3 linked regions of the Caenorhabditis elegans genome follow. The protein of the gene in region 3 interacts with the protein of the main gene of each other region in a pairwise test. Each region holds a gene or a part of one and is shown on either strand. Other genes may lie near its edges.

The links. The genes of interacting proteins can lie anywhere in the genome.
Region 1: the proteins of eat-17 (region 3) and rab-11.1 interact in a two-hybrid assay, tested with the Caenorhabditis elegans proteins (one study listed by BioGRID).
Region 2: the proteins of eat-17 (region 3) and rab-6.2 interact in a two-hybrid assay, tested with the Caenorhabditis elegans proteins (one study listed by BioGRID).

What each region holds. Positions count from the first base shown.
Region 1 is NC_003279.8:106,720-113,104, forward strand, and holds rab-11.1 (Ras-related protein rab-11.1), read right to left. Parts: upstream 3,339-6,385; 5' UTR 3,326-3,338; coding exon 3,286-3,325; intron 3,238-3,285; coding exon 3,116-3,237; intron 3,065-3,115; coding exon 2,773-3,064; intron 2,728-2,772; coding exon 2,546-2,727; 3' UTR 1,955-2,545; downstream 1-1,954. Other genes in the region: Y48G1C.8 (DUF7747 domain-containing protein), read right to left, coding at 1-100, 637-829, 877-1,442; rpl-7 (Large ribosomal subunit protein uL30), read left to right, coding at 4,336-4,346, 4,442-4,541, 4,791-4,988, 5,036-5,252, 5,300-5,508; F53G12.9 (GST_C_6 domain-containing protein), read left to right, coding at 5,646-5,762, 5,808-5,933, 5,981-6,184. UniProt on the Caenorhabditis elegans protein: The small GTPases Rab are key regulators of intracellular membrane trafficking, from the formation of transport vesicles to their fusion with membranes.
Region 2 is NC_003284.9:17,219,375-17,226,419, reverse strand, and holds rab-6.2 (Ras-related protein rab-6.2), read right to left. Parts: upstream 3,946-7,045; 5' UTR 3,942-3,945; coding exon 3,881-3,941; intron 3,821-3,880; coding exon 3,708-3,820; intron 3,656-3,707; coding exon 3,550-3,655; intron 3,224-3,549; coding exon 3,112-3,223; intron 2,521-3,111; coding exon 2,366-2,520; intron 2,317-2,365; coding exon 2,246-2,316; 3' UTR 1,955-2,245; downstream 1-1,954. Other genes in the region: T25G12.6 (VWFA domain-containing protein), read left to right, coding at 27-171, 215-288, 338-450, 496-579, 821-901, 950-1,010, 1,054-1,185. UniProt on the Caenorhabditis elegans protein: The small GTPases Rab are key regulators of intracellular membrane trafficking, from the formation of transport vesicles to their fusion with membranes.
Region 3 is NC_003284.9:16,412,368-16,419,575, reverse strand, and holds the start of eat-17 (Rab GTPase-activating protein eat-17), read left to right. Parts: upstream 1-2,735; coding exon 2,736-2,848; intron 2,849-6,269; coding exon 6,270-6,376; intron 6,377-7,208. UniProt on the Caenorhabditis elegans protein: Rab GTPase activating protein for the small GTPase rab-6.2. Required for grinder formation, which is the feeding organ that breaks down food.

The sequences.
Region 1 (6,385 bases), on a different chromosome or scaffold from region 3:
GCTCAATTATTCGTTCCTTTCTGAGAAGGTAGGCCAGGCAGCCTGATATCACTGTGGCGTAGCAATCACCGTTTTCCGTCATTTCAACTTCATCTTCGAACTGCAAAAATTATAGAATTGAAAAAAAAAAACGATAAAATCCGACTTTCTCGATGATTTTTATGATTTTTAACTGAAAAATTGATTTTTCGGCATTTTCTGAAGGATTTTGATTAAAATTTGAAGGTTTTTTTTTCTCCCGTAGGCTCAAAAAACGCCCTTTTTATGGCGGCTCAAAGGCAAATTTTAAGTAATAATCGAATAAAAAATCATAAATTTACGACCCCTACGGCACGGGAAATTGGAGACTTCAGCTAAAACTAACCGTTGATTTTGAATATTTTGAGCCAAATTTGGCCAAATAGGCATTAAATGCACTCCAGATGACTAAAAACACGTGAAAAAAGCTATTAAAATTAGGTAAATAAGACAAAAACAGAAAAAAAAGAACTTGAAGCGAAACTGGAGCCCATTTTTGGAGACAATTCTCATTACAAAATTGGTTTTTTGGGCACATTTTTTAGTCTTTCTAGTTATTTCGAACATTTTCCGAAGAATTCCCATAAAACTTTGAAGCTTTTCCATGTAAGCCCCTACCAATTTCACGTGGTACTGCCTTTCAGCAAGAGCTTTACTGATAACTCGTTCTCCTTGAACTCGGAACATTTTCGACGGTGTCGCCGCCGCCGGATTTATAATTTTCATCGCCTTCTTCTCCTTATCCCCATCGTCGATAGACCCATCGGTATCCATTGGCTTGCGTGTTCGGACACGTCGCTGTTTGCTGGGCCTGGAAAATTTCGATTTTAAAGATTTTTTAAATAAAAAATCCCCCACAAATTCATTTCCAAATCCGGTGGTTGCCCATCCATAAACCCGTCGTCCTCCTCCTCATCATCACCGAACGGGTCCATTTGTATGCGATCCTCGTCTCGATATCGGGAAAGGTTCAGAATTGGCGGCTCATCCTCTACGATGACCTCCGTCTCTGCGTGGAGCATCGAGTCGTCGCCGGCGAAGATGGGCTCTCCGAGCTCTCCGGCGGTGAGCTCCTCCAAATGTGGCGCTGGCTTTCTCTTTTTCGCGTTTCGAACCGTACTTTCCTCCGTCCTGGAGCGTTTTGGAGCTGCGATCGAGCTTGTTGATGCAGAGGCGAGCGCTTCTTCCTTTGGGATGCCCAACTCGTAGTCTTCATTGTTGTAGAGCACGGATTTCCGAGCATTTCGACGTGGACGAGATTTTGTGGCTGGATCCTGGGGCTCTGCGGCAGGCTCTGGATTTTGCTGGGGCTCTTCGGCCGGCTCTGGATTTTGCTGGGGCTCTGTTGGATTTTGCACAAGCTCTTGATCAACTTCTTCCTGATTTTCTGCCAATTCTCCCGAATTTTCAGGATTCTCGGACATTTTTCTGCAATTTAATAATTGAAAATAAGAATAATTAACGGGGTGGAAAATTAAAAATTAAACAAGCATTAAAATAAATTTGAAAAAGTCCTGATTTGTAGTCCGCAACGCACGCACGCAAGCATACACCAGAACAACTAAGAGAGACGGGAGGAGAGATGGAGAATTTGAAAGAGACGGCGAGGCGACGAGAGAGCCGGAGGATTGAGGAAGGACAAACACACAGATGTGGGGTCTTGCAGCGCTTTCTCTGCGTCTCTTTTTTCGACATTTTTCAATGGGAAATTTTTTTTTGGAGTTTTTCTTTTTTTTTATCGGAAAACTTCAAAAAATTCAAATGGAAACGCTGTACGGACAATGCATAGAATAACACGCAAAAATGCACATTTTTAGGCCTTAGGTTACTGTAGTGGTCTCGGCGCGAAAATGCGGATTTTCATTTTGAATTCAAAATAAAAAAACTGGACGTGATTTGGTACAAGCGTTTAGTGAAAATGTTTCACAAAATAGGAGATCAATTAGATATATTTATTTATTCATGGAAAATGACTATTTGGAAAAAAATTGCGAAATAAATAAAACTCGATTAAAAACAATGTGCATATGTCTTCGTTGCTTTCTTGGCGAGGGTTTCTCGGTATCGAGTTCTACAAGAGACACACATTACGAATAACCAAAATAGTTTAGGTAATATACACATTGGGTGGGGGTGGGCCAGAATAATATTGAATAAGGGTGAAGAAAAAATATTCAAAATACGTCGCTGAAGTTGGCATACAATCTTGAGTCGGATAAATGGTAAGAAAGCAGCACCACTCAACTCAGATCACAATCTTCTGAAGAAAAAGGGACGAATGTATAGGTTCGGAGGGGGGGGAGGGGGAAGGGGTGGGGATGGAGGCAATTACAAATAAATCTGAAAGAAAGTTACAAATACTACACACCAAAACGGTGAAGACTTGCAAACGCAGTGCTTGCAAGAATTCGATAAAACTCGCGGATGTTAAGAGCGAATCATTTGGATTTCGGGGGCAGTAAATTAAATGGACAAGGCATTTCGAAAAATACACACGTTAGACTGAAAAAAAAAAACACGATGTGATTTATGGGATGCAACACTGCTTCTTTGGTGGGTCGGACGCTGGCGAAGGAATGATTGTACCACTGCCACCGCCATATCCTTGTCTGTCAGTTCCTACATGCTTGTTGGATACTGATTTGTAGATTTCCGTCAGGATATTAGTGAAAGCTGCTTCAACGTTGGTGCTGTCGAGGGCAGATGTTTCTGAAAAAAAAAAATATATAAACGCAATAGATTAGTTTAACTTACCAATAAACGACAATTGATTTCTTTCGGCGTAGATCTTGGCCTCGTCTGTTGGAACTGCACGCAAATGGCGCAAGTCGCTCTTGTTTCCGACCAACATAATCACAATGTTCTGATCGGCGTGATCACGAAGCTCCTTCAACCATCGCTCAACATTCTCGTACGTCACATGCTTAGCGATGTCGTAGACTAGGAGAGCTCCGACAGCCCCACGATAGTAAGCGGATGTGATGGCACGGTAACGTTCCTGTCCAGCAGTATCCCAAATTTGAGCCTTCACTGTCTTGCCTTCTACCTACAAAAATAATAATTTGAATCATAAGTGTATTCTAATGAAGTTCCTCACCGAGATGCTTCTCGTGGCAAACTCGACTCCGATTGTTGATTTTGATTCCAAGTTGAACTCATTTCTTGTGAAACGAGACAGGAGATTCGACTTTCCGACGCCTGAGTCTCCAATCAGAACAACTGAAACAATTTTTCGTTTGGGAATTGAAAAATGAAAAACAAAATTACCCTTGAACAAGTAGTCGTATTCATCGTCACGAGAGCCCATCTTTACTGCTGAGCTGTAAAATGATAAAGCTTGTTTGAAAGTTGTGTATATATTGGGACGATTGTAAAAAAGAAAAAGGGCATTGGTCACATGATTCATCAGCCGGGCGCAATGTTTTGTTGTAAAATCGATATTAAAAGAACGAGACACTGTTTTATCGGCGGAGAATATTTTTATGTTCTGTTCCCGACACAAACGCGGAGTCAGGAACCGGTTGTCTATCTCGACGGGGATTGAAAAAATATAAGTGAACTTGATTTAAGAATGATTCAAAGTATATGGAGTTGGGAGTTTTATATTGAATTTTATCAATATATGAGGGTGGTTAGTCAGAAGAAAAATGTGAAAATGTATATAGAAGTGTGTTATGAAAGAGTATTTGAGGCTTATCATACCCGAAAAAGGGAAGGTGAGCGGCCGAACTTTGTTTGTCGACACGATTTCGAAATAGTTGAACAGGATATTTTTAACAAGGGAAAGCTTTCTCTGGGTGTTCTTTTTTGATAATTTCAGCTAAAAATTGAAAAAAATAATTAGTTTTATGGCTGTGAACATCCAGAATAAGCTTTTCCGAACGCGAAATGCGTGTGAAACCCATAAAATCGAACGTAAAACAGGTCAGGCGCACCGGCGCAGCCACGTCGGTCTGAGGGTACGCGACGCTAGCCGCAGCGCAAGCCTCCTCGGGTCTCGGCACGACAACTACCGTACCCCTTTCGCAGCGGCGCAACGGAATCTCAATTTTACATTTTTTTCTTTTTGGCCTAACGAATTTTTCCGTTTTTTCAGAGCATTTTTCATTGATTTTCTTAAATTTTCATCAGAATAAATTTTAGAACTAATTTCCCGTAATTCTGATACGCGTTTTTTATAGTTTTCGTGAAGAAAATGCTGAACATTCGAAAAATACTGAAATAATTTAGTTTTGAAAACTTGCTCCTCTGTTTCAATATCTTATAATTTTCTTTTCTGATTAATATTTTGATTTTCCAGGTAATCAATCGCCTATAATGGCTCCAACGTAAGTTTTCTTTATAAATTTATATTAGATTGAAATTTACTTTTAGGCCTGACTTTCAAATACTTCAATTTTGATATTAATTCTTGGTTTTTCAGAAAGAAAGTGCCACAGGTTCCAGAAACTGTGCTCAAGCGCAGAAAGCAGAGAGCCGATGCCCGCACCAAGGCTGCTCAACACAAGGTGACCGTCGCCGCTGTAAGTTTATTTAACTGTCAGAAAACAGAAAATGCTCTTCAAAAGCACTGGTTTTAGGATCCACTATTATCCAAGCCAGCCGTCAAAACTGAGCTATAAGAATTATCTTGTTTTTGGGTGAGGTGTATTCAATTCAGAATGCGTCTCAATAACACGATGACAATTCGAAATTTTAAAGTTTAAATTTTCTTTTAGGTGTTTGAAAATTAATTTGAACTAATCCTGCATTAAAAATAAAATTTTTTACAGAAGAACAAGGAGAAGAAGACCCAATACTTCAAGCGTGCTGAGAAATACGTCCAGGAGTACAGAAACGCCCAAAAGGAAGGACTCAGACTCAAGCGCGAGGCTGAGGCCAAGGGAGACTTCTACGTTCCAGCTGAGCACAAGGTCGCCTTCGTCGTCAGAATTCGCGGTATCAACCAGCTTCATCCAAAGCCAAGAAAGGTGAAATTGTGTTAATGAGTTTTTTAATAACCATTCTTTGTTTTCAGGCTCTCCAGATCCTCCGTCTTCGTCAGATCAACAACGGAGTGTTCGTCAAGCTGAACAAGGCTACTCTTCCACTTCTCCGTATCATCGAGCCATACGTAGCTTGGGGTTATCCAAACAACAAGACCATCCACGATCTCCTCTACAAGCGCGGATACGCCAAGGTTGACGGAAACCGTGTCCCAATCACCGACAACACCATCGTCGAGCAGAGCCTCGGTAATTTGAAAACTTATGCTTTTTAATTCTTATTTAATTGTTTTCAGGAAAGTTCAACATCATCTGTCTTGAGGATTTGGCCCACGAGATCGCCACCGTCGGACCACACTTCAAGGAGGCCACCAACTTCTTGTGGCCCTTCAAGCTCAACAACCCAACTGGAGGATGGACCAAGAAGACCAACCACTTCGTTGAAGGAGGAGACTTCGGAAACAGAGAAGATCAAATCAACAACCTTCTCCGAAAAATGGTCTAACTTGTTTGTTGTTCATACCTTCCTTCCGGATAAATCGTTATTGTTTGACGTTGTTTAATTATGTGCATAAATAATCATGAAACGTGATCGTCTTGGCTCGACTCATCTCGCATTTCATGAAGCGTCTCATCATTCAGATGAATCGTAAAACCGCTTTGCTGACTACTCTCCCGAGAACAGTCACTGTTCCCTACTATGCTCCATCCTGTTTATTTCTAGAAACTTTTCTTCGGAGCAAGCTAATTCCCTATGAAGTGAGAGCATTTAGGTTAATAAACATAGTCCAGATTTAAATCCAGACAACGCAATGTTCTCTCTACAATGTACTCCCTCGTGAGCACCTATACCCATTGATTGATGTCGATGGGTATTTCTTCAAAAATTTGATGGAAGGACTTGATTATCTGCTCGCCAAATATGGAAAAGTTGGCTTAAAACTAGAATTTTAGAAAAAGCTTAAATATTCTTCCAGTCTCTGGACTCGGGCCTGACTCCAAAAGAGCGAGCACAGGCTCTCGCATTGAGCGCTTTGCTCGACGAGCTTACTTGGATGCTCGCCTACTCGCGAGGCCAAGATTTCACGTGGCTCCGCGATGATCGTAAGATTATCGAAGACTTCGGGCTTGTTCAGCTCTATTTTTGGAGGAATTGGATTGTACCGCAGATGCAGAAACGGGTAGATTATTGATATTTTATGGAAAAATCGATAAAATATTGATTTTTTACTGAAAAAATTGATCAAAAATCGATTTTTTTTTCCTCGGAAAATCTGTAAATTAGTAGTTTTTTGTTGAAACAATCGATAAAATTCTGGTTTTTCAGAAGCAAAATCGATATATTAGGCCAAAATCACCAAAAATTATCAATTTTCCTATAA
Region 2 (7,045 bases), 810 kb from region 3:
TTATCAATAACTATTATTTTTTTCAGATAAACAGTCTTCTCTGCACGCCATCTACAAAATCCCCGCCAATCACTCCCACAACAATCGTTTCAACTAGTGGTGCCACGTCATCAGCAGCTCAAACAACTGTAGCGGTTACAACTACTCAGATTATGCCAAGTACTACTTCGAGTCAGTTTTTATTTAGTTTTTTGTTCAAATGTAATGTTTCAAGTGCCAAATCCATGCCACGATTGTTCTCCAAAAACATCCAATATCCTCCTCTTGTTCGAAGCATATGGGACAGCTGTGAGTTTTTTCTTTTAATTTTGTTTTACTATTTATGAAAACTTTTCAGCTTTCAAATCAGAAAAAATTAGCTGAAACTGATCTTATCGCCACGTGGAATCATTTCGAAAGAACATCAGTAATGGGATTTAATACACTGGTGAAGAACCTGGACCCCATCAAGTAAATTTACAATTTTGAGTTGTGAGCGTACAGAATAAATTTTAGTTTTGGTGACTTGCAAACCAAAGATGAGTTTGTCAGCATTGTTGATAGCTTCACACCGTTCAAGGATCAGCCGAGTATTGTTTCGTGAGTTTTTGGCAAAAAAATTACAGTTAAAGTGTAAAAAACGTTTTAAAAAATTGAGTTAACATGCGTGGTGCAGTACAAAGGTTTGAAAACGTTTTTCAAAGTAGCTTAGATCTCCGCCTCAAAGGTAGTTTCAATTAATTAAAATTTGAGCGCCCACAATTCAGAATTTATTGACAAATATGCTATCATCACAAGATTAAGGAAAAAAAACATAATCAAATACTCTAGCTTCTTTTAGGGCATTCAATATGGCTGTCAACCGCGCCAACCCGCTAAAATCCTTTGGAAAGATGAACTCCGTAATCTTCACTTCTGGGGCGTATGTTTCCAAAATGAAGTTTTCTTGAAAATTTTTTCACTTTTTCAGAACACCTGCTGAAATCACTGCATCACTGATGAATTCACAAACTTTGCGACAGAATGGAAAAGTAAGACACAAAAATGTGAAATTTCCATCTGCTAGTTTTTCAGGTGATCATTGTGGGGCTTCAACTTCCGGACGCTACACACCTGGACACGCTTTGTGATGTTCTCCTGAAATGGGATGATTTAACAAATACAGAAACTATCAGCACTCAAATTAACCAAGCACTGAGTAGATAAATTTTTGAAAGGGAGGATTGAAATAAATTAAATTTGTTATTTCTTTGAAATAGTAGGCATATGAGTTTAATTTGAAAAAATAACGGTTTAAATTAAAACCGTTAAGTGACGATACCTTTCACGGAGTTGTATCTTTCGTACGGGTATAGTTTTGCGTATAAATTTTGCATAAATGAACTACAATTTACGTCACTAAAATGTACAAGTACTTTTGCCCGTTTTCGTGTCGTCGTACCGATATTTTCCGCACGGCATTGAGCGGAACAAATTTTAAGAAATTTTAACAATCTTGAACTGAAACAACTGAATTGGAATCTGGAACTTGTAGCTATTTAACTGAAAGACTTTTTTTTTTTAAACATCTGAAATTATTCCAAAATGGGCTAGTTTCATCAAAAATCTACAATGTGCAAACGACGATTTTTGAACAACATTATGAATTTTTTGTCTTTATTTCCACCAACTTCACTTCAACGTTTCACATATATCTTTCCGGGCCAAATATGTTGCTCTTCCTCATTGTGTTGCTTTTCAGGATAGCAGCTCATTCTTAACCGAAAAGCACAAAGTCAATATTTGATTAAAACTGCGTTGCTTTTCGTCTTTTCTTCCACCTCCCCATCATTTTTCGTGATCTACTGCTGCTAGTCTAACACCAAAAGCGGAGAAGATTTATTCGAGAACAGAGATGTTGGGAGAGTAAAAATGAAAACAAAAAAAAATCATTATCACACTTAAAATTAGCCAAGCAAAAATAAGAAGCAAAAAATTTAAAATAATAATAATTTATTATGTTACAAAGAAAATTACACATGTTTACCATCGCATAAGTTAATAGAGAAGAAGCCATTCAGAGTTCATTCACACAGAAAAAATCGATAATGTTTTTGGGGAATTTTAAGATATCAAAACTTACTGGCGATAGCGCTTTTAAGGGGGATAATTAATATTTCTTCATGACAAAACCATTACGGGGGCGGAGGATGCTTTAAATAAATTATGCGTTGAGATTGGAGTATCACAACCTTTTTTTGACATTTTGCTCAGGAATACAAAGAGATTAGCACCAGCACGATCCCTCGTCGGTGACAATTTGACGCTGACGGATTGGGTCCATCGTGACCACATTTGCTGAAAAAAATCATGGCTTTTTGAAGTTAAAAAGGTTTTTAAAACTTACGTGGCTCCACTGGGTCGTCCTTGATGATTCCTGGTAGGGCTCCGGCGATACGACGGAAAAGCTGCTTCACATTGTAGCCGGCCTTGGCAGAAGTCTCGATGAACATCACATTAAGCTCCTTGGCCTTTCTCTCTCCTTCGTCGGTGGTGACTTGCCTGAACAAAATATGTAAGTCTTATGTCAGTTACAAATTAATAGACCTGGAGCATTACACATTGAGTTTATTAGTTAGGTTAACAGGTTTCAGAAAAAGATAGTTCAGCTAAGACCACGCAAGATCAGCTCGAAACAGGCCAGCGCAAGGTAAGTTTAGCTTGAACTAATTCTGTTTAGAATGCGCATTTTTAGCCTAATGTAACGTAGATTTTGCTCAGGAAAAATCAAATTATGGGAGATTCAGCTTATGTAGCTTATGTAGTAGGTTCAACTGAATTGTGTTTAAGGATGAGCTGGAGATAGAGAGCTTGGGCTTGAAAAGCGTAGGCTCTGATTATAAAAAATAAACTTGAGGTAGGTCCAGTTGAAGCTAGTTCAAGTTAGTGCAGATCCAATTTATGTTAACGTAATTTCAGTTAAAGCTATTTCCTATCTCCAAACAATATCTTTAGAGAAGGTTTTAAGCTAGCCAAGATTTCATACTGAAAGTTATGCCGATTAAAACTTCAGCCTGGAGCTACTTAAATGCATATTCCGCCGTTTCCACTACACAATTTAATTGAATTTTTAGCGGAAACTCTCATTCGAACCTCTTATCGGAAAGATCGGTCTTGTTGCCGACCAACATGATGATTACATCACTTCCACGCTCAGTACGGACGTCGTCAATCCACTTGGAAGTTTGATGGAAAGAGTTGGAGTCTGCAAAAAAGTTGGGGTTAAATGAAGCTTTTTTGTCGTTACCGAGAGTTTTTTCATTGCCCACCCTAGTTCAAAATCAAGATTAAACAAAAAATAATGGTTTCCTTTTGGATTCTAACTTTTCTATCAATATAAATTGTTTTTTGAGCTTCTCTTCTTGCTAGAAGCTTTTCGCATTAGAGCTGCCAGTGACTATTGTAGTATTAAACCAATATAGTTATTATAGTTACTACTATATACACTACTATAGTTAAAAAATTTCTCCCAGAGGATCCAGTGTGAAGCTTTACAGCATGAAACATCAGAAAAACTTCTTCCAAACTTACTGGTGATGTCATAAACCACAACAGCAACTGTAGAATCACGGATGTAGGATGGGATGAGTGAGCGGAAACGTTCCTGTCCAGCGGTGTCCCAAAGTTGAAGACGAACCTGAAATTACGGATTTTGAAATCATTTCTTTACGCAAAAACTGATTTCTTACGGTTCGGTCCTCCAAGTACATGGTCTTACTCAGGAAGTCGATTCCGATGGTGGCCTGGTAGGTGTTGTCGAAGGAGTCGTACATGAAGCGAGTGATTAGGGAGGTTTTTCCGACTGAAATTTAGAAACTTGAGAATTCAATATCTACGGTAGAATTTCAATCAAAATACTCACCACTTTGTTCCCCGAGGAACACAAGCTTGAATTTCTTCAACGGATTACCAAAGTCCGACATTTTTCTGTAATTTTTCTAAAATTAAATCAAGTTTTATTTTAAAAAAATTATAAATGAAACTTCTCGCAAGAGGAACACGAACACGAGACAAAATAACGGAAGAGATGTGGTCACTGCCACGCAGGGACAAAAATCGATAGGAGAACGGGTGTAAGGCACGGAAAAGAGGAGAAATGCAACATTTGGGCCGCATCTGTGTCTCTTTTTCTCATCGATTGTCTCTCCTCGCTTTACGAACAACTGAGCAGTAGAAAACGAAAAAAAAAGGAGACGAAAATGAGAAATTTGAAGCGAAACGAGCTAAAACTGATGAATTTAAACCGTAAAAGGTTTATGAAAACGGAAATATGCTATGCAGTGAACACTTTCCCCCTCTCAGCCGGTCAACCACGTAGCGATATGCAGGGGCAGAGACTCAGGCGAAAGGGGTTTCCCGTCGAGACCCGACCCCTCGGCCGCTCGTAAATCCACACCTGCGCACTGCGCACTGACCATAACAACACGTTTAGATGAGGGAGTTTTGTTTGTTTTTTGAATAGAGGTCAACTTAACGTTTCGGAATTTTGATTTTTGTTCAATAACTTCAAACAAATCTGAAACTGCAGCTCAGAAGTTTAATTTCTATTAATTCTTAACAATTTGTTTGCCTGATCTGTTATTAAATACAAAAATTATTTTAAAAAATAATTTTAAAAAAAGAGGGTTTTAAAAGAAAAAAGTACACAGTTAAAAATCGAAATATTTAATACTAATACTGAATTTTTTTCCAAAACAAAGATTTATTTTTTTAACTTCAATTTTTGCAGACTTAAATAAAAAACGTAGTTTTATCAGTGTTTCAAATATGCAGCTGTCACAAAAGCAGCGCAAACGAGTCATTTTTTGAATTAACATGAAAAGTTGTACATTTGAAAATTTTAGTTCAGAATTCAGAATAATCCGAACTATAGAAACTAAAAGTCTCGGAACTTTTGGAATAATTTTCGGCAAACAATCGTAAAACAATATTCAAATGGATAGCTAATTTTAAAATGAACTCTTCACAGAAAATATGTGTTCTTAAAAAATTTGTTTCATAAATAATAATATTAAAACTCTAATTAGTAACTTCAATTCGCTATAGCTGTGCCATGAACTTTGGAAAATGTGCCTAATCCATTTTTAGCAATCTAAACAAGTCTAAAGGAAAATTATTTAAAGAAAACAGACGTAAAAATTAAAAAAAAACACTTCAAAACATTTATGACTTTTTTTTGGTTTACTTTCAAGCATTTTAATCACCGTTTTAAATAGCTAATTTCCACTGAAGGAGACCAAATGAGTCATAATTTGATATAAATGCGTAGGAGGCATTTTCGTGATTGGTTTTATTATGTTTTAACTTGAATTGCAAAAAAAATGAAAACGATACTTGAATCGTCATTAGATTCATGTCCAAACTCTGGGAAATGTCTAAACAAAATTCAAACAGTGAGATTCAGACTAGGGACGAGAGGCTCTTCCGTTCGGCAAATTTTTTTGTCTGCCTCCTTCCTAAAACCCCCATCTTGCCACACACACGCGTTTTCGGTGTTCAAAAAATGTTCAAAAAATGTCCGAAAAATGTGTAATACAACTTTGAACGTTTATATCTCGGCTCTCACGGAACCGATTTTTGAAATTCTTTTTTCTCTACATTCACAAAGTATAGCGACGTGTGTTCATCTAAAAGGGGGTTGATTTTGGAGCATCCTGTCGGCTCCACAAGCGGAAAACCACACCCTCTTGTTTTTGCGCACACCGAAGTACTGGCCGAAAACCACTTTAAATTGAAGGAAAATTCGAGTTTATGTTCAAAACGTTTGAGACTCGAAACTTAAGTTCTCCTTTTCAATGCCTATCCATTGTATCTAAGTTCATTGTGATATCTCTATTCGTTATTTTAAAAACGATAATTAAAGTTTTGCCAAAATTTCTGCACCTCCCCCCTTTTCTCACACACACACCCACCTCCCCTTTTCATATTTGGTGTGTTTTCGGCCACATTTTCACCATTGTTTCGGTCATATCTCCGTTAGTCTTGCTCCTTTTTCAAATTTTTTTTTGGAAAAATGTTCATCACATCGAGAGGAAGCGGAAAATATAATTTTTTGTTTCAAAAAAGGTAAATAATAGTCTCAAAAATAGAAAAAATGAACACTTCTTTCAAACAATTTACATTTTTCCATAAAATTCACAAACTTTCCACTATCGTTCCGGTTTTTATGTTAAATTTAGAATTAATAGAATAAAATAAAATGAAATCTCAAATCACAGCTTGATCCGATCATTTTTCGCAGAGATAGGTTATTTAATTTTTGCACATGGAAATCCAGTTTTCCTCTGTTCCTGGACAAGTTTTCAACTATCCTTTCGATTTGATGTTTTAATTTTGATAATTTTCATTGAAGCAAGGTAGACAAACTAAATTTGGTCGGTCTTGACAACTTTCAGCACATTTGTGGAAGTTTTGAGCTTCCAGGCCTTCCCAGAAGGTGATATGTTTCAATTTTTGTTATTTTTAAACATAATAACCGCCGTATTATTCTACTTTTTACGCCAATTTCAACAATTATTTAATTTTTCTCAAACTCCTACTATGAGCAAAGTTATGACGGATTGAAGTTTTAGTGCATGACTCCTCACAGGCCGCCTCTCCTCACAAAAGGCTGCATGCGTGCGGGTGGCTGGAAAATGTTTTCTTTCCAAAAAAAAACAATAGAAAGGCACTTTAACTCTAAGAAGAAGTTCACTTTGAACATATACTTCAGGCATTGCAGGCCGGAGGCCTGCTGTGCGATTACAACTGTTTTAAGCCCAGATTGGCTGGATTGAGTGCCGCAGGCACTCTTACTCTTAGAAGACGCAGTCAACCTTAAATCATTATACCAAGGCAGGCCGGAGGCCTGATATGCGATTACTCTTAGATAAGTTTGATTTAGAAAGCTTTTATTATTTTCAGTTTTCTAAAACAATCCCCATTCCCGAAGGGCTGGGGGCCCACAGGCGTTCACGATTTTCCAAAAAGTAGATGTTATTCTCTCGAACCTAATAACCAGGTTTGAGGGCCGCAGGCCCGAACACTC
Region 3 (7,208 bases):
TTGGAAAGTATGTAGAAGTAGAAGTTGTTGAATTGAAAATGTCCGCATTTGACAAAACCTTCATAATGTTTTGCTTTTTTTTAAATAATATTATTAAAGTTGGGCAGAATTTTTATATATCATTGAATTCTAAAATCTGAAATCAAAAATCACAAGCGCAAAGAAAATTCGTAATTAACAATTCCACGCTATCGGAGATTCGCTATACATCAAGAAAAATAATTTTTTCGTCGTTCAGGAACTTTTGAAGAACAGACTTTGAGGTTTTTAACTTTATTTAAAAAAATATTAAATCTTAAATTTCCATTAACCGTAATAAAATTTGTATAAAAAATTTTTGTTTCTTAAATTTCAAAACAATTTCGTTGATCTTTTGATTTCAAAAAAAAACAACTAATCAAGATATTTTTGACAACACACTTGATTTGTTGTTTTTTTTTTATCAATAGTTTGTTTTATGCTTCAAAACAGAAATAGGCCAGTTTTAGGCTTGAAGAAGACCACAAAATTTTCTTTTTTAAAAAGTTTTTAAACGCTAGATGTAACATTTTCATGGATATTTCCTTGCTGTTTCATTTTTATATTATATTAGTACTAAGAAAAATGATAAACACCTCAAAAAGACCCACATATAAATTAAGTTTCTTTTAACATTTTTTAAAAAATTATTTTTTTGAGATTTAATATGTTTAGAAATTCTGGAATTTTTCCCCCAAAACCCGCAAAAAATATAGATCCTTTTTGAAATGTGAACTTTCCATGTTATTCCTCTTTTCATGTTTTGATGGCTAATAAATCATAACGAAAATCTCCGCGGACTTCATTTCAATTTCAATTGTTAAATTTCAATTTTCATATTATTCTACAAAAATAAATACTTGATACACTTACTTATATTTCAAAGTCTCTTTTTTACTCTCACATTTACCAATTCTAGACTTGCATACTGTTCGATTGCACACCTCCCCCCTCTTTTGATCTTGTGTTGGAGGCGCCCCCCGCGCGTTCTCTCCCCTCTCTTCTTTTCCGTCTCTCACTCTCTCGTCGCAACGGACCACCATTTTTTGATTCCGTTTCCCTCATTAGTCACTCTCTCTGTTTGTTTTCATTTCAATTTTTACTTTTTAAAGGTTTTGTTTTTATTTTCTGTTTTCTGTTTTCCGACAAACTTTTGACATATTATTTATGAATTGACTGTGCGGTTCTTTTTTAGGTTACGGTAGTTGGTACGGTAGTGTTTTATCAGTAGTGGATACAAAATTTGGAGAAAACCATATTTTCATATTTTATCCTTGAAACCCCTTAAATTTTCGAGCTTACTCCGATACTTTTGATTCTTCCGGAAAATTTAAAAACTACTGAAAATTTTTACATTTAAGTCGCACATTTTACTCTGAAACATTCTGAAATTTTATCATTATATATATATATATGATTTATCTAGTTGAACGTACAGTAATATCATACCTCCAGTAACTATTCATTCTGCTATTTTGTTCGCCATTCCACTCTTCTCTATTCTTCCGTCCCATTCGATTCTGATTCATATTTCGGTGTCAGGGTATCAACACCACCACCACAAATATTTGCAGGCGAAAGTTTTTGCTTTTTTTTTGTTCGCCTCTGCGACCTACTAATATCAAAATCTCCTCATCAAACAGGCCAGCTCGTTGTGCCACTTTTCAGTTAGTCATTTGGTATACAAATAAAAACAAAACCGATAAGATGCAGGGCCTCGAATTACTCGGGTTCTCAGTCAGTTAGTGTCCGTCGGCGGAAATGTGAAATTTTCTAAAATTAGAGAAGATTGGGTTTCGATAATTTTTTTTGTCGGGTTGTGGAAAATTGATTCGTCATGGGTAAAATCGTAGTAAAAGATCTCGAGATATGAAAAAATTGGAATTTTTCTATAAATAAAATGGATTACGGTATAGTACGGTAGAAAAACTACGTTTTCTGATGAAGGTCTGTGAAAATGATTTTCAACAAAATTAGGACCGTATAGGACCGAGCTATTGGATAACTTTTTTCCAGCTTATACAGTAAGAAGTCCAGCAAAGTTTTGATATTTGATGTAATCTCGTTCTGAAAGTAGATAGAATTAAAGTCCACTAGCCACACGTTGCACCTCTGTTTTGGCTTTCACAAATAGTATTATATAACCGTATAAATAAATAATGACATCAGTGTGGACGCTGCTCCAATCCGTAAATCTCGTCCCTCCCCTCACTCCCGCGCGCCTTGTGTTTCCCTCCGGAGAGCAAAACCCAGCGCGGAAACCAAGACGTGTTGAAAAACTAATAGTATGTCTTGAAGAAGCTAAAGCACATGACCATATTTGCTCCATTTCTGTGGGAAGAAGAAGCGATGGATTCAGAGACTCGCGGTTTGGTTGTGTCACGCCTACTTCGGACTGTGCGCACGGCCCGATCGCCGCCCGGTCTCTTGCCTCGCGTCGCTCCCTTCGCCTATCGTTCTCTTTTCGACTGTATGCTGTTTCGCGTCCTCCTCGCTACGACCATATAGACTCAATAGTGGCGACGGACGCGCAAAACACGGCTCTCGGCTCAAAATTTTTCCCCCTCCCCCGCTGAGCTCAACTCGGGATTGTTCGCCACTTTTCGACTGATTATCTCTCGATCAACACCCATACGACCAACAACAACAACAATAGAAAAAAAACAGCTACCAACATCAAAATATTTCACTTTATTCCGTAACTCTACATATTCACGATGGTGCCCTCGCCGGCTCTTGTCGGAACGCCATCAGTGTTTCCACATCATCAGTCTACGTCGTTTTTTCAAGAAACTGCTAGCTTCTTCAATCTAGACTGGGAGCGATTATGGTAAGAATTTTGGGATCATTTTTAAAATTGGAGGTTTTAGAAATTATATTTTTGAAATGGTCAGAACATTTCTCAATTCAAAATTTGAGACTCATTTTTTTCAAGTTCCCAATTGTGCTTAATCTACTAGTACTCAACTATCTTTCTAATAGCCTTCCAACTTTAACTGATCGAACTGTACCTCCTCTTGTGCTTTAGAAACTTTGTATTATTGGTCGTTTTAATCCTCTACGTCAAATTTAATACATTTTTCCTATTTCTGTGCAAAGACTTTGATTCAAGTAATCTATAGGGTGCTTTCCATCAATGTTTGATTTGAGTTTGATGTTTATTTACCAGTTTTAATTTGATCAACTGAACTTGGCCTACTATCCATCAATAGATTAGCCTTTTCTCTTGCCAATTAATTTTTGACTGGCTTTTAATCAAAAATCATTGTTCCAACTCTTCTCTTCATTCTTTTTTTCCTCTAGACAAAGCTCTTCACCCGTTTCGGTCCGTGCGCGGCGCCATTTTTGTTCTTCTCCTCCGATTGGTCATCGACAGTTTCCAAAAATATCCTGGCGCGGCGCCACGGAAAACCGGCGTTTTCCTGTATGCATACAGGAGGAGTGGGGGGGGGGACGAATCTAATTTTGGAACACTAGGTACACAAGCATGATGGCATTCCGTTGGCCGTGTGTCCGAAACCTTGACCAAACCAGGAAATTGTGTGATTGGCATGTTGGCAACGAGTTTTCCCGAGATTGAGAATGGAACAAGGAACTGATCTTCGAGCGCGCGCACAAAGTTAGGGACGACAACGTTCTGTTTGCTCGTGTTGAACTCACCGTGGTTGGTTTTTTTCCCTTGCAGTTTACTGCAGGGGCTAGCTGCTCCGAACGTGACAACACGAGCAAATATACGGGACCGAGGGGTCAGTCAGCGATAAATAGGTCAAGGCTTTGTGTAAATCCTCGAAACGTGGTGGTGGGGTTTGATAACAGTTTGATGAGTCGTGTACAGTTGGTTCGAGTTGAGATGCAGGGGAAGGTGTAAGCAATATTGCTATGTATTATAAATTGAAAGAAAAGGTCGATCCGTTCTTCATGCGCTATGCACTGCGGATCTGGGACTGCCCGGTGGTGCTCCCGCTGGGCTATAATTTAAGCCACGTCCTAGCCGGGGACTGTGGCCGATAATCCAGTTGTGGATTACTCCAATAGTGGCTGGATGTACCTAGGGGTGAGGCCGGACTTGAACTCGTGGCCTCCAGATTGCTTGCGTACCGAAGGAACTATCCTGCCCCTCTGGCTAATTTGAAAAACGCTAACAGCATAAGACATCGCAAACTTTGATCAATGTCGGCTGCTTTTACTATTTCGTTTTTCTATACTGGAAATAAGGTACAAACTGGCAAAGTAATAGTTTTTGCACATTGGCTTTGTAGAATAATAAGACAAGTTTCACTGAGACCTGAACTTTTCATTTTCCGGAGTTTTGATTTTTTGGAAATCGGAATAGTGTTAACAAGTTGTAAAATTTGCCACATTTTCAAAAGAAATTCCTCTAGGTTTAGATTTTATCCTGTTTTCTTTGAGCTACCATATACTATCGTGTCCTCAGGAACTCGTGAAACTTTGTACAAACCCTTTTCTCTGTGCGCTTCAGAAGGTAAAACTTCATAAATTTTCATTTTGTACTCAGATAGATGTAGAAATCGCGGCAAGACCCACTCCAAAAACATCATCGTTCCAAACTATGATAGCTTAAATTTTACCATCAATAGGACGGTATTCATCACAATTGCGACTGCTAACTCGCATCATCAATTGTATCAGCATTGGCATGCAACACACAGGAAAACATGTTTTGTATTAAAGCGGTCGGGTAACCTGTATACATCTCGTTTTCTCTGCCACCCTCCACTCTCTCACCATTTCCACGCGACGTCTTCTACGTGTGGGATATACTACAGAAGAACACAGGGAGAGAGAGAGATAGAGGAGGGAACACCGCCACCACTACGCAACAGTGCACAGGAAGGTCCACACACACCACACCTATCCTCTTCTTCCTTATTTATATCCTTTTTATTGATTGCGTGCGTGTTTGGCAATATCTGACCCCGACCTTTTTTCTTCGCCCTTTTTGTCCTCAGATCGCTTGATCTCACCTCAAAACTGACCGCCGCCATCCGTTCCTGTCAATTACACGTCTCGATGACTACTGACGACTTTTTTAATATTACAATTGGATTTGGTTACGAAAGCCTTTCTTTAGTTTGGAGTTTTTAGGTAATTGAGAAATGATTTTAAATAGGAAGTTTAGCTGAAAGTTTTTAAGTTTAGTTACAAAATTTAAAAAAAAAAAAATTTTTTCACTTGAAGTTTTGGCAACATCAAATTAACGAAATTTTATACATACAATTTGTAGAAAAAAAACATTTGTTTTTTTTGACGGCTTAAATTATGAGTGACTGAGTAATCGTAACTTTTTGACTAAAAATTTGAAAAAAAAAACATTAAAAAAGTTTTACTGTGATATTTGGCCATTTTAGCACAGTAGGTGTAGTCTCCAAAAAATTCACATAAATGTTTTTTTTTGTATTTTTCAATTTTGGTTGATTTAAAATTGAACTGAATATGAAATTTAGAAATTTGTGTAGATCTACAATGTTGAATTCAAAATTATAAACTAGAACAGTTTTTTTTCTGAAAAAATAACAATTATCATTTTTTCCGACAGTTATGATTATTTTTGTTTTAAACAATGTAGAAAGTTTTGAGTGTATTCTGAATAATTTTCAGTGCATCATTTTCAGTCAAACTTTATGTTTTTTCTCAAATCTCAATTAATATTAAAAGTATTCCCCATCCACGTGTCCCTTACAAGAGAACTGTTTTGTTATCTCGCACTATGCAGAGGCGGTGGCTAGTATTAAAACTGATAAGGAAAGCATTCAAAGCTGGAAGAATGACACAACAAGAGATGGCTCGCCCACCTTTTGAAATTTGAAATATTCCGTTAGTATTCCGTTCTTCGTGGAACTTTATAGGAACAGCTCTTTGCATTTTTATTTCATTTTGTATTGTGTTTTTCGACCATTGCAATGTTGACAATGATGGGGTGGAAGGAGGTTTTGTTAATTAAAATTAAAGATGACGCCTTGCGTGGTGTCAGCGGCTACTTGATTTCTCCCCGTAGCTTTTTTCTTTGCGTTTTTTTTTTTCAGTTTAAGACTTTTCTCTCTTCTGTGCTACCCAAAAAGTGATTGGATAGACTTCCGGTTTGACTATTGACATTTTTACTCATCAGTGCTCTCCTTGGCCAGCATTACTTTGTACAATAAAAAATGGCATTTTCATGACGCTGATGACTCTTTCCATTCGCGTTTTCCAATTTCTATATGTTCGATCATTGAAATATGTTTTTTTTTCAGGCATTCGCGTTCAAACTCGAATTCAACGTCGTCGCCACGCAACTCGCCGTCCCAATTGTCACCGCCGATGGCAGCCACTGCAGCGCTACGTCGGAGTTCGGATTACGGTAAGAACGGTTTTTCAAAAAAGTTTTATAGACTTTTGAATTTTGATATGCAGTTCTAAAAACAGAGACACTTACGTTAATAGAAATAACTTTTTTTGAACTTTCTTTTTAGTTTTCGTTCAAATTGGCCCCTCTAATTTTATCTAAAACTAATAAGGACTATACTTAAAAACAGAGTTCTAATAGTTTAAGCCTACGTGTCTAAGCCTGAAGACTTTCTAAGCCTAATTTATACTCAGGCCTACCAATTCACGATTTTCTACCAGAATTATTTTTTAAATTCAAAATTCTGTATTTACGAGAAATATTTGAATGTTTTCAAAAAATAATTTCTACAAACGAAACTATAGGAAAAAATGTGCCGCACCCTGAAAAATGTAAACAATATTGTCGTGGCGAGACCCAATTCGCAGTTGTTTTCTAGTACTAGTTTTCCCCCCAATTTCCCTTTCCATTACTATTCATGATAGAAAATTGAATGCAAACACGCAAAGCACAACAGTGCCGCGACGATTTGCATTGTTATAATACGGACGACCACCACCACCACACACACATTCACACACCTGTAAATTTAAATATAGTTTAACAACTAAAAAAAATGGGGCAAAACTAGGGAGTGGGGAAGTATTCTTAGTTGTAGATGTTGTAGTAGTAGTAGTAGTAGTAGTAGTAGTACTAGTTTACTGTGAGCCAGTAGTGCTCAGCTGCTCGTTTATGTATGCATTGTAAAGGGAGGGGCGGCGGAAGGAGAAGAGCTTCTCTTGTAGTTGGACACATAGCTACTGGGTCACCGAAATCTTTAATTGGGCCTCGACCGACGAGGTGGGCG